Linked DNA regions of Schizosaccharomyces pombe. Changing the gene in region 1 together with any one later gene gives a genetic interaction. Each region holds a gene or a part of one and is shown in the gene's direction. Other genes may lie near its edges.

Evidence for each region.
Region 2: mutations in ani2 (region 1) and cyb502 together harm fitness more than expected from each alone (negative genetic interaction), as found in Schizosaccharomyces pombe (one large-scale study listed by BioGRID).
Region 3: mutations in ani2 (region 1) and SPOM_SPCC1020.07 together harm fitness less than expected from each alone (positive genetic interaction), as found in Schizosaccharomyces pombe (one large-scale study listed by BioGRID).

What each region holds. Positions count from the first base shown.
Region 1 is NC_003424.3:4,326,491-4,330,102, reverse strand, and holds ani2 (FKBP-type peptidyl-prolyl cis-trans isomerase), read left to right. Parts: upstream 1-1,634; 5' UTR 1,635-1,731; coding exon 1,732-2,820; 3' UTR 2,821-2,956; downstream 2,957-3,612. Other genes in the region: dolichyl-diphosphooligosaccharide--protein glycosyltransferase Ost1, read right to left, coding at 1-999; SPOM_SPAC27F1.10 (uncharacterized protein), read left to right, coding at 3,310-3,612.
Region 2 is NC_003423.3:2,574,100-2,577,294, reverse strand, and holds cyb502 (cytochrome b5), read left to right. Parts: upstream 1-1,829; 5' UTR 1,830-1,866; coding exon 1,867-2,014; exon of another isoform or gene 2,015-2,198; coding exon 2,199-2,352; exon of another isoform or gene 2,353-2,400; coding exon 2,401-2,473; 3' UTR 2,474-2,632; downstream 2,633-3,195. Other genes in the region: SPOM_SPBC2G5.01 (Ca(2+) binding protein), read right to left, coding at 1-674; Ragulator-Rag complex subunit Lam1, read right to left, coding at 2,808-3,018, 3,081-3,158.
Region 3 is NC_003421.2:769,775-774,017, reverse strand, and holds SPOM_SPCC1020.07 (pseudouridine-5'-phosphatase), read left to right. Parts: upstream 1-2,054; 5' UTR 2,055-2,292; coding exon 2,293-2,325; exon of another isoform or gene 2,326-2,496; coding exon 2,497-2,539; exon of another isoform or gene 2,540-2,604; coding exon 2,605-2,667; intron 2,668-2,724; coding exon 2,725-3,296; 3' UTR 3,297-3,743; downstream 3,744-4,243. Other genes in the region: tal1 (transaldolase), read right to left, coding at 1-520; wybutosine biosynthesis protein Tyw1, read left to right, coding at 3,966-4,243.

The sequences.
Region 1 (3,612 bases):
GCGGAACTCCTCGTAAGGCATTTTCCAATCCAATTGGAACAAATAGTTCCATCCCCCAAATACAGGATAGCGAGGATTTAACTCGATCCATGTCTGGTGAGGCTCAACTCGCATATGAGATGTGGTAATGTTTCCCACCTCATCGGTATAGTAGACATCCTTGGAATTTCTAGGAAGACTATAGACGACTCGATTAATAGCAGTAGAAACTGGATTGTAAAAGTTTCCCATATACCACTTGGCACGATCGAAGTTGGACTTCAGCTTGGCAGCATGGTTTTCAAAAACCACACGCTCCGAGACTTCTAACATTTTTCGGTATTCATGCATATCAATTTGAACATAGAGATCAGCTCCGCGAGGAATAGGTACAGTATGCTCATAGCGAACATAGATTTCACCTAAATCATTGTCCTCCCCGGTGATAGTCTCACGGCTTTCGTAAACCAAAGTATTGCCAACACGATTGGGAAGTTCAGCTCCATCAATATTATACGTAGTATATGTGTCAATTTTAGCAGAAGGGAGTATAAGACGAGTGCGTTGAAGATCAGTAGTGTAGGGACTATCTAAGTAAAGGGTTGTCAGGTAAACCAAATATTGTTCTTCGTCTTGATCCACAGCTGCTGGTAAAGGACGAACACCACCGTCCAAACCTGCCTGTATTAATAAAGTACGAGATTCACCAGGTTTGACAGGAGGTTGTAAAGGAATATCATAAACATTGTTGTTAACTTTTATAGGGTTAGTTCCTTTCTTTTCTTCCTCTTTTATCGATACGGAGAGAGACAAGACACTTTCGCCAGGTGAGGTCTGCTGAAAGTAGCGATATGTATTTTGAGGCTCATCTCCTTCATTTACAATAATTAAAGAAGTGAGAGTTTTGGTATAAGTGGAGCGTAAATCAATCGTACGAATCGCGTTACTATTTCTCCATACCTGCTCAGCTAAACTGAGCCCAGATATGATGGACCACAACAATAGCTTGAGAACTAACATTTCTGAAACCCGCAACCAGTGAAACTTGGAAAGCTCAACACTGTTTTAGAATAGGTAATAAATGAATTTATTACAACCTTGAAAAACGCTGTTTACAGATAACCTTCAAGAGGCTATGCGTTTAAAGAGCGGTAATACGTTCAGGTTAGGTTTGCCAGCCCAAAAACCAACAATATGCACAACGTAGTGTGTATACACTCGTTAATATCTTTAATGACTTGGTGGACTAGTTCGGTATACACATTCCGATTAAAAAAAATTGTTAAGTAAAATTAGATATTCGAATAAATAGTAGTTTCTCCGTTAAATTAATGCTAAAATAATTATGTTCCGTTCTTGAACTTTAAAGAAAATTTTCACAAATAACCAGGCTTTTTCTCTTTGACTACTAAGATCACGAATGAAGATGACGGCGACTTGCTATTTGAGTATTGGTAGTAAAGAACGAAAGTACATGAAGATTAACCCCTACTGCTAATTATTTGTACCTTTTAAAATTTTCTATTGAGAATGCATCAAACTGAAAAACGCTTCTAACGCTTCCGTTTTGGTTCGGTAATAATAAGCTTATGAATAGGCGAGATAACATTACTTAAGGCGTCATAAAGGTTTGCTACTGGTACAATTTTTTCATCAACACTTACTCTACTCTGATATACCAGTGGTGAATTTCTGTGATTCCCATCGTCTATTGCGTATCTTTTTGGATTTTATTTATTCTAAATAAACAAAATGAGTAAGGAAGAGACCCTTTACAGTGTTAAAGTGGATCAGGAGCGTGTTCCTCTTTTCGATGAAGACTTTTATAAAGGCTTTCGTAGCGAATTATCTGTTCGTTTTACGATGGCAGCTTTGGATCCTAGAGCTAAATCAAATGATGCCGTTACAGTAAACGTGATCACTAGGCTTGAGCACCCCGAAGAAGATGGAGAAGAAAGTGACGAAGAACTTTTTCAAGAAGAAAAATTTACCCTATGCACCCTTAAAAAGGGCTCGGTTTACCAGCAACCAATTGACATTATTTTCTCTCCTGGAGAAGAAGTTTTCTTTGAACGAGTTGGTGGTGATATTCCGGTTTATTTGAGCGGAACATGCATAATTACAAACATTCCGGAGGAGGAGGATAGTAGTGACCTCGAGAATGACTTTCTTTATGGAGCAGATGAATTTAGCAGCGATGAAGAAGAAATGGATGATATTTCCGTTACATCAAGCGAAGAAGAAGAGGAAGAAAATGGTGCTCGTATAGAGGAGTTGAACAGTGACGAAGAGGATGCCGAGCAAGCAGAAGAAGAGATTTTAGAAAAGCCTGTTCCAAAGGATGAAGTTGCTGAAAAGCATTCCAAGGATAAGCTTAAAAAGGAAGAGAAAGAAAAGAAAACTGCTGTCGACGTATCAGATTCTGTGAACGGCAAAAAGAGAAAGACCGAACCCGCCGGTGAAGGAGAACAAACTGAGAAGAAATCTAAGTCTACAAAAACTTATCCTAAGCAAGTACTTGAAGGAAACGTTACGGTTCAAGATAAAGTTAAAGGTGACGGACCAGCTGCGAAGCGCAAAAAGCGCGTTTCTATGCGTTACATAGGTCGTCTTACTAACGGAAAGGTATTTGACAAAAACATTACCGGAAAGCCCTTTACTTTTAATCTTGGACTCGAGGAAGTGATAAAAGGGTGGGACGTTGGTATCGTGGGTATGCAAGTAGGTGGAGAACGTACAATTCATATTCCAGCTGCCATGGCCTATGGCTCTAAACGTCTTCCAGGTATCCCAGCCAATTCAGATTTGGTTTTTGACGTAAAGCTTTTAGCGGTTAATTAATTTTGTGTAGTTTGGTTCATAAAAAAATTATGGTTTAGTTGGGTCTGGAAATTACGGAATAGCAAATTTTTTGAATATTATTCGAATTATTTTGAGGTAAAGTAAGCACTCTAGTAGAAATATGTATGTTACTGAGACAACTAATTGGTCGCAGTAAGGTGAGGATCTTGAGCACTCTTTTAAACTGATGATAGAATTAGATGTGTGAGCAATAATGGGCATCAGAATAAATAAAACACTTTTTTTATTAGTCGTTGTCTTGAAACATGAGTGAGGGAAAGCACAATCGCTACTAGTTATCTACGGATATTTGGTGGAGCCACTAGAAAATTTTGTATTTGTGAATTTATTATATGAAGAAGGCTACTAAATACTCTTATTCCCTCAATTTTTTAATTGAGATTTCATAATTGGTTTTCGCGATATCTCTCATGTATTTTATCTACTGCAAGTTGATTTAGAATAAAAAAAGAAATTATACATAGTAGGATGCAATTAACTGGATCGATCTACCCATGGTTTACTGCGTATGCTTTATTGAAATCCACGCTGATGGAACTCATCAATTCGTTTATACCGTACAAATCTCAAACTGGAAAGGCACCAAAGTGTCTGGTTCCTTATTGGCTTTCAATTCGTCTAAGTTTACTTTACTTTAAATTGACAGAGGCGATATCATTTACCGAGAAGTGCGAAAAATATAATATTAGCTTATTTGATTCAACTTTTGTATTTGGCTATATCGTTAACTGCTTTTTTATTATTCATTTAAACACGTTCCTTACATCACAG
Region 2 (3,195 bases), on another chromosome or scaffold:
CTACACTCATTGTTCTCAGACATTAAAACATGAGTTTCCGGTAAGTAAGGAGAGGAAGAAATGCGGGTAAAGCTTAAGTCGTAACGTATTTCACGAAGAATGCGCATACAGTCTTTATGAACAATGGCGAAAACAAAACGCTCAGCCTTCAAGTTCTGGTCTGCAAGAGTTAAATCGAATTGAAAACGGTCAGCAACAGGTAAAACAGAAGACATAACGTTTCCCAGGAGGATTTCAACGATTTGATTAAGAGAGTAGGCTAACAAATCTTGACGAGGAAAAAGCTGAAGTGTTGTATACACATTCTTCACGTTGAGACGTCCAGTAAGATAGGAGCTAAACTCGGTAGGAGAGTCATAAATGATTGGAGAACTGTTAGGACCTGGTCCATATTGTGCAAACTGTTGGCGAAAGCTAGACTGTAAGGAACCATACCAGCGAGAAGCGATTTTTTGGTTTTTCTTCTTTTGCGTGATAAAAGAAAAAACATAAAGGAAAAAACAAGCAAGAATAACAAATTCAAGACGGAAATCTCTCCAATCGACATGCTTGAACATTCCTGGATTCTCCAACTCGGGATTCATATTGTAATCCTCTTCGTATTCATCTTCCTCATCAGCCAGTACTCCTTTAGCTAGTGCAAAAACTAGAAACAAAAGCTTTTTATTAATCATGGTTCCTCCGCTTGTAAATTTACTGACTTTCGTGAAAGAAAAAAGGGCACTGGTTGTACGAAGTGAGATTGAACGTGGTGAAATAAGTAACGAACGAGACAAGCCGGTTCCTAGAGTGGGAAGATTAACTAGTGTATATAGATAGTTTAAAATAAGTCGGTAACCAGAACATGTCGCGATGGTGTAGTTGGGAGCATGACAGACTGAAGATCTGTTGGTCATCGGTTCGATCCCGGTTCGTGACACTTTTTTTGACGTGGAGAAAACACTTTGTACTAGTTATATCCAACATAATTTTGAGGTTTTTTCTTTTTACTTATTTTTATTTTTCTAGTTGCTATATGTGAAGCAAAATTAGATAGCTAACGGATGCTCAAGAATATTGTACTGGCACTTCAGCTTGTTATTGCAAAAGTTACAAAAACAGTCTGCAAAGACAAACAAGCATAGAAGCTCAGTTGGTCTAAATGTATATTACTAGATCGGTTCTGTAATTATTGGTGTTTTATTAGCAATGAATGGTGCTTTCAACTGAATATATCCGACAGAGAAACTATATGGCGTTACAATTTTCAAAGGTAGTAGTTTATCTATTTGGTAAATGATAGTTGTACGAACTGCTACGCATTTACTCAAAATCTTAGTTACATTCATGCGTTCTATATAAAAGAAAGTCATTTTGTACTTGCTTGTTTACGTATACGATCGGTTAATCTCAACAAAGCAAATAAAAGGAAGCTAGTCACCCTGTTGTACTTTATACCTAGGACATATTTTTTTTTTCAAACATGTAACATACCGTTACTGAAGAATGTCATAAGCTTAACGCTAGCTAAATTAAGCTTGTATCAAAGTTGCGAGGGATATTGAGATCTATCGTTATTAGATCATTATAGATAAAAAGATATAAATGAGAAATCCTCCATACCTCAACAATAATTGTTTATTGGTAAAAAAATATTATTCCTATCCACTTTTTGGTTAAGCAGAAAATCTGGCAGAATTTTGTACATGCCGCTTTGCCTATCATTGGCTGCTAAATAAATTCCTTGAGCTCGTTTGTTCGATTATTTACTACTACCACACGATACCCTAACGTGAGATTTTCTCTACTAGCGATATCAAAACTTTCGCAAACTTTTTCCAACTCCCCTCAACACACGATTTTTATTATATAGATTTATTTATCAAGATGTCGGTGAAATACTTTGAACCTGAGGAGATTGTGGAGCACAATAATTCCAAAGACATGTACATGGTCATTAATGGAAAAGTTTACGACGTTAGTAACTTTGCTGATGATCATCCTGGAGGCTTAGATATAATGTTGGACTATGCAGGTAAATAATTCGACAAAACTTTTGTAGAAGTAAACACCATATTATGTTGGAGACTGCTATGCTCAAAAGCGATAGTATACTTTTAATCGCTATCGTTTCATTCATCAGTTCTTCACTTGTGTGCCTTCTTGATTAAAACATTGTATACGGCTTTTTAAACATGTCCACTAACTATTTGTTTTAGGCCAGGACGCCACTAAGGCCTATCAGGACATTGGACACTCTATTGCTGCAGATGAGTTACTAGAAGAGATGTATATTGGTGATTTAAAACCCGGAACTGAGGAGAGACTCAAAGAATTAAAGAAACCTCGTTCATTTGATAATGATACGCCTCCGTAAGAAAATGATTTGTGTACGATGGTTGTTTCATGCTAACAGAACAGATTGCCTCTATTAATCGCATTAATTGTCCTGCCAGCCATAGCAGTAATTGTGTTTGTTAAGCTTAACAAATAAACTTCGAAGGCTTGCCTATTTATTTTCCTAATCTTTATACCTTCTTTTGTTTTTCGCGATGTTAGTATCACTCAATATTATTATGGATAGCAATTGTTTTCAAGGCTTCTAAAGAAACAAAATAAACGTTAACTTAGAAAAATATATTTCTTAAATGTCTTCCTTCAGTAAGAGAGCTCTTAAAAACAATGAGTTCAGCTCGTAACATGTAATTAACTCATGGAGATATTAAACAAACCAAAAAAGTATAACAAAAAGATTTAGCTAATAGTAAAGAGGGAAGTATGTAATCAGAAGTGGAATATAACTAATGGAAAAATTAGTTCTATTGGGCTTATGAAGGACTTCCAGTAATATTCGGTTGGACTTTAGATAAATTGATTACCATCTTTCCTTTGATTTCTTTATCACTCAGCTTAATGTTGTTAATATCATCAATCAAAACACCTAGTTTCCTTATTATAAACTCGGTTTCCTGCTCGGTAGGTTTAGCAACATCGTATTTTGGATCTAAATTCAATGAGTCGATTTGATCTAATACCTCCCTATCGCAATCATTATGTTAATATAGTTTCTACTGTATAAAAAGAATTTATCAAAAGCTTACTCATAAATGTTGTCCCGAGGGTCTCGCTGAGGTGCTTCGGTTCTCAATCGTAAAGAAAAGACGTCAATGAATTTATTTCTATTTTCAGTTAACAAAGAAACAGATACCAAAGGCT
Region 3 (4,243 bases), on another chromosome or scaffold:
AGGTAACGTTAGCCTCGGCGCAAGCAACAGCTTGGACAAAAGAGAACAAGAGAGTCAAGTTGCAGTGGATGCCCTCTTCCTCGAGTTGCTTAGCAGCTTGGATACCCTCATAGGTGGAGGCAATCTTGATGAGAACACGCTCACGACCAATGCCCTCGGCTTCGTACAACTTGATGAGGTGACGAGCCTTCTCGATAGTAGTTTGGGTGTCAAAAGAGTAACGAGCATCAACTTCGGTGGAGACACGGCCAGGGACGATAGCGAGGATCTTGGTACCGAATTCGATCAAAAGACGATCAAAAGCAATCTCAATTTGAGAGTTGATGGAACCACCCTTTGCCTTGGCATAGTCAACAGCAGCGTCGACGAGAGCAGCATATTGGGGCTTCTTAGAAGCGGCCAAGATGAGAGAAGGGTTTGTGGTGGCATCTTGGGGTTTGTATTTGGCGATCGATTCAAAATCTCCAGTATCGGAGACGACAACAGTGCCAGTGGCCTTTAATTGTTCCAATGAAGACATTTTGATAAAACTACCTCAAAAACTCGTTAGTAAATACTTTTTCCAGACAAATAACTTCGTTTTTCCTAAAAAACACTACAAACATACCTTTTCTGAGTTTCTTGGTGTTCCTAAGGATATAGGTTCTGGTTAAGTTGTGTGTAGCGTGGAAACTTCCACTTAAGCATTTTAGGTACGTCAGCCAAAGTTTCTTTGAATTTGCGGAGAACTTAGCAATGTTTGTCTAGATTTAATTGATTGCTTAAGCAGATGAAAAACTTTCGATTTTACTATAAAATTTCAGAAGAAAAAAATGGAAGCTGCAGACTGTGCTCAATGCATTCTTCACCATCGAAAGTATAGGAAAAGTCGAAAAAATTTATGAAAAAGAAAAATTTTAAAAAATGGTCGAAATCAGATTGTTTTTTTGTTCCAAATTGAAATATATAATGTCAGTAATCTAAGAAAAATAATGCGCTGGTCGCAAGCGGGATCCCGAACAAGATATTGAAGAGATTGACATGACTGGGCTGATTGCAAGTAGTGCCTTAAGGTATGTATTAATGCTAGAACGTTACAAGTATAGTATTGGAAATATTTTGTTAATTGGCACATTTCTTTTGTTTGGTTTGAGCGACATGACAGCAGCAAGTTGCTGCATCGGACATGATCGATGTTCGCACAAGTGTTAAATAGTTGGACCTAAAATTGAATACATATCCATGGAAAACTCTTAAATTGGTAAAAGCATCTGATACTCTTTGGATAGGTATACTCTTCTACCTACACTCTTGTCGATTCGAATTGCCTCTTACAGTAATACAAATGAGATTAGCTTCTAAGGTATCTACAGTCTTCAGAAATGGTCAAGTTCGTAATTAAAAAGGCTTGGTTTTAACCTGTTTATGGACATTGTCTATATAATCGTCAGCGAAATCTTCAAGCATAGTGTGAGATACACCTGTATACCCATAGTTGACGAGCAGATAATCGTAAGGCCTTTTATTTGACTTTCATTACTTATTATTACTTTAATCACTTTTTAAGTAATTTTCTTCAAAATAAACCACCGATATCTCACTCGACATTTAAAAAGAGCTATCTGTATATCCACCTGATGACATTCCATAGTCATCGAGTACAGCTTTGTAGTTTTTCAATAAGACACCCATTCCCGTATCAATTTTACTTTCAAACCACCTTCTGTAACATGTTTCCGGTCAAGTTCAAAGTCACACGTGAATGAATTGTTTGTAGACAAATAAACATCCATAAACTGAGCTTGTCGTGTAATAGGAAGAGAGTCGAGTAAATTCAATGTCATTGCACTTTATAAACTTTCTTCTATTTTTTTCTAGTTTCTTTTTATCTTACCATAACATTATCATTTAGATGAATCAAGTTCAATCCCTGACTCAACAAATTCGCCAACTTTACCTCTCTTTACACTCATTATTTTCAAGCAATTCTATTTGCAAGTCCAAAAGCTTTCCTAATGCCACAAATATTCTATTTCTCACCTTTGCCTAAACAATGGCTCGTCTTGCAACTTGTCAACTCCACGTTTGACTACTTCTAGCAGAATTTATTAAGGACGACTGTGATTGTCTAAACTTGAATTATTTGATAAGTTATCGTATATTCATCTCATTCCCATTGCTGCTTTCGTCCGTATACTGATCGAAATTGGTTTCATTCTGTTACGAATAGTATATATCCTTTCAACAATATCTTTCTTCATCGTAGAAAAACAAAGACATTCTTTTTATTAAAACCCTTACTTTACTTTAAAGATGATTCCTGAGGCGTGTCTTTTCGATATGGACGTACGTACATAGTAAAATAATATGGATCATTTACGGCGTCCATGATCAACAAATACAATATTTATTATCGTTTATTTGTTTTTCATTCTACTTAAAAGTGCTTAGCCTGATGATTCCTTAAAGCATACTACTTGAAAAGCGATAAAGTGTCCTTCTATCTAACGAATACAGGGCTTGTTGGTCGATACAGAGTCAATCTACACAAAAAGCACTAGTAAGTTTTACTCTTCCTTTTCCCTTTCTGTTCAAAGGTATTGGTTAGGCTAACGGTGCGTCTAGATATCATTTTAAAGCGCTATAACAAAGGCCCCTTCTCCATGGAAGTCAAGGCTAAGATGATGGGTAAGTGGCTTTGAGCTGTTGTTGTTTTTTTCAACCTTCTAATCATTCATGCTTTAGGCCGAACTTCAAAGGAGGCCAGCAGAATCTTTTTGGATTGGTCGGGTATTGATTTGACCTGCGAAGAATACATAGCATTACAACGTGAAACTCAAGCTGAACTATGGAGGCATACAAAGCCTTTACCTGGCGTTATGAATTTGTTAAGTAAGTTGAAATCACTAAACATTCCTATAGCACTAGCCACTTCCAGTGACACACACAACTTTGAAAAGAAGTCCGCTCATTTGAGTCATTTGTTTGATCATTTTGATGGAAACATTATCACTGGAGATGACCCTCGATTACCCGTCGGTAGAGGCAAACCTCACCCAGATATTTGGTTCATCGCTTTGAAGATGATCAACGACAAGCGCAAGGCTCAAGGCCAGGCAGAAATCCTGCCAGAGAACTGCTTGGTTTTTGAAGATTCCATTACAGGAGTTCAATCAGGCCGGGCGGCAGGCATGAAAGTTGTGTGGGTTCCTGATGTCAATATTCTTCCCTTTTTTTCTCTTTCTCCAGAACAAGCTGCGGACAAGCATATAACAAAGGTGCTAAGCTTGGAGAATTTCGATGTTACAAAGGTATAGTTGAATTGGTTTCTTTCTCTTACTTTCTTCATTTATCGCTTTTGCTTTATATCTTTTTTTTTGCTCTTTATTTAAGACGCAGCATGCTAGCTGCATTATTTACTTTTTATTCTTCGTTTTACTGATATATTCCCATGTCGTAAAATCTTTAAAAATGAACTCTCATCAAACATTCCAAATCTTTTTTGAATACTTTTCACAAATAACAATCATTACAAAGCCCTCATCCTTGATTCTTTCTTCAATCGTTTGAAAGTGTCTCATCTCCAAGTATCATTTTCACTACGTCTAACACTAGCTATCTAGCAATTTTTCTAAATGTTACTACACATGAGGTATTTTAAGAGATATTGCTTTTCTTATAGTTTGATTTTCAAGAATGTTGACTTTTACAAAAAGTACCTTTTTGGCCAGCACTCCATCATTTAGATGAAAGCACTTATATATTAATAAGGTAAAATTAATCATAAAATAAACAAATAAGTAAAAATTTTAAATTAATTTAAAAGTTCATCCTTCATTTTAGTACTCTCTAGCTGGACTTAGTTCTGTTGGCGCTTATTGGTGAAATTTGCCTGTGTCTTTTCCATATGCCACACCTCAAAGAATCCTTTTTCCAACCACCAAGGATACTATTTCTTTGCTAAATTCCAGTGGTAAATCATTGCCATGGGGTATTCTTTGGGGTACATCGGGGAGCATTGGGAAGAATACCGGGCTGTATTGTACATAGTCTTGCTGCTGCCTGTACTGATCCATTTTCTGATTCGACGAAAAACCCAATTGTCCAATTCAGATAAATCAAGCGAGAAAAAAGATGAGGTAAAGAAACAGAGAGAAGTTAAAAGGTTTAAGCGGGTTGGCAAAAGGGGAAAGATCGGTTCGCCATCCTCTTCCATTCGTAAACAAAATGATACTATTGATTGGAAAAACTCTCCTCTTTGTGT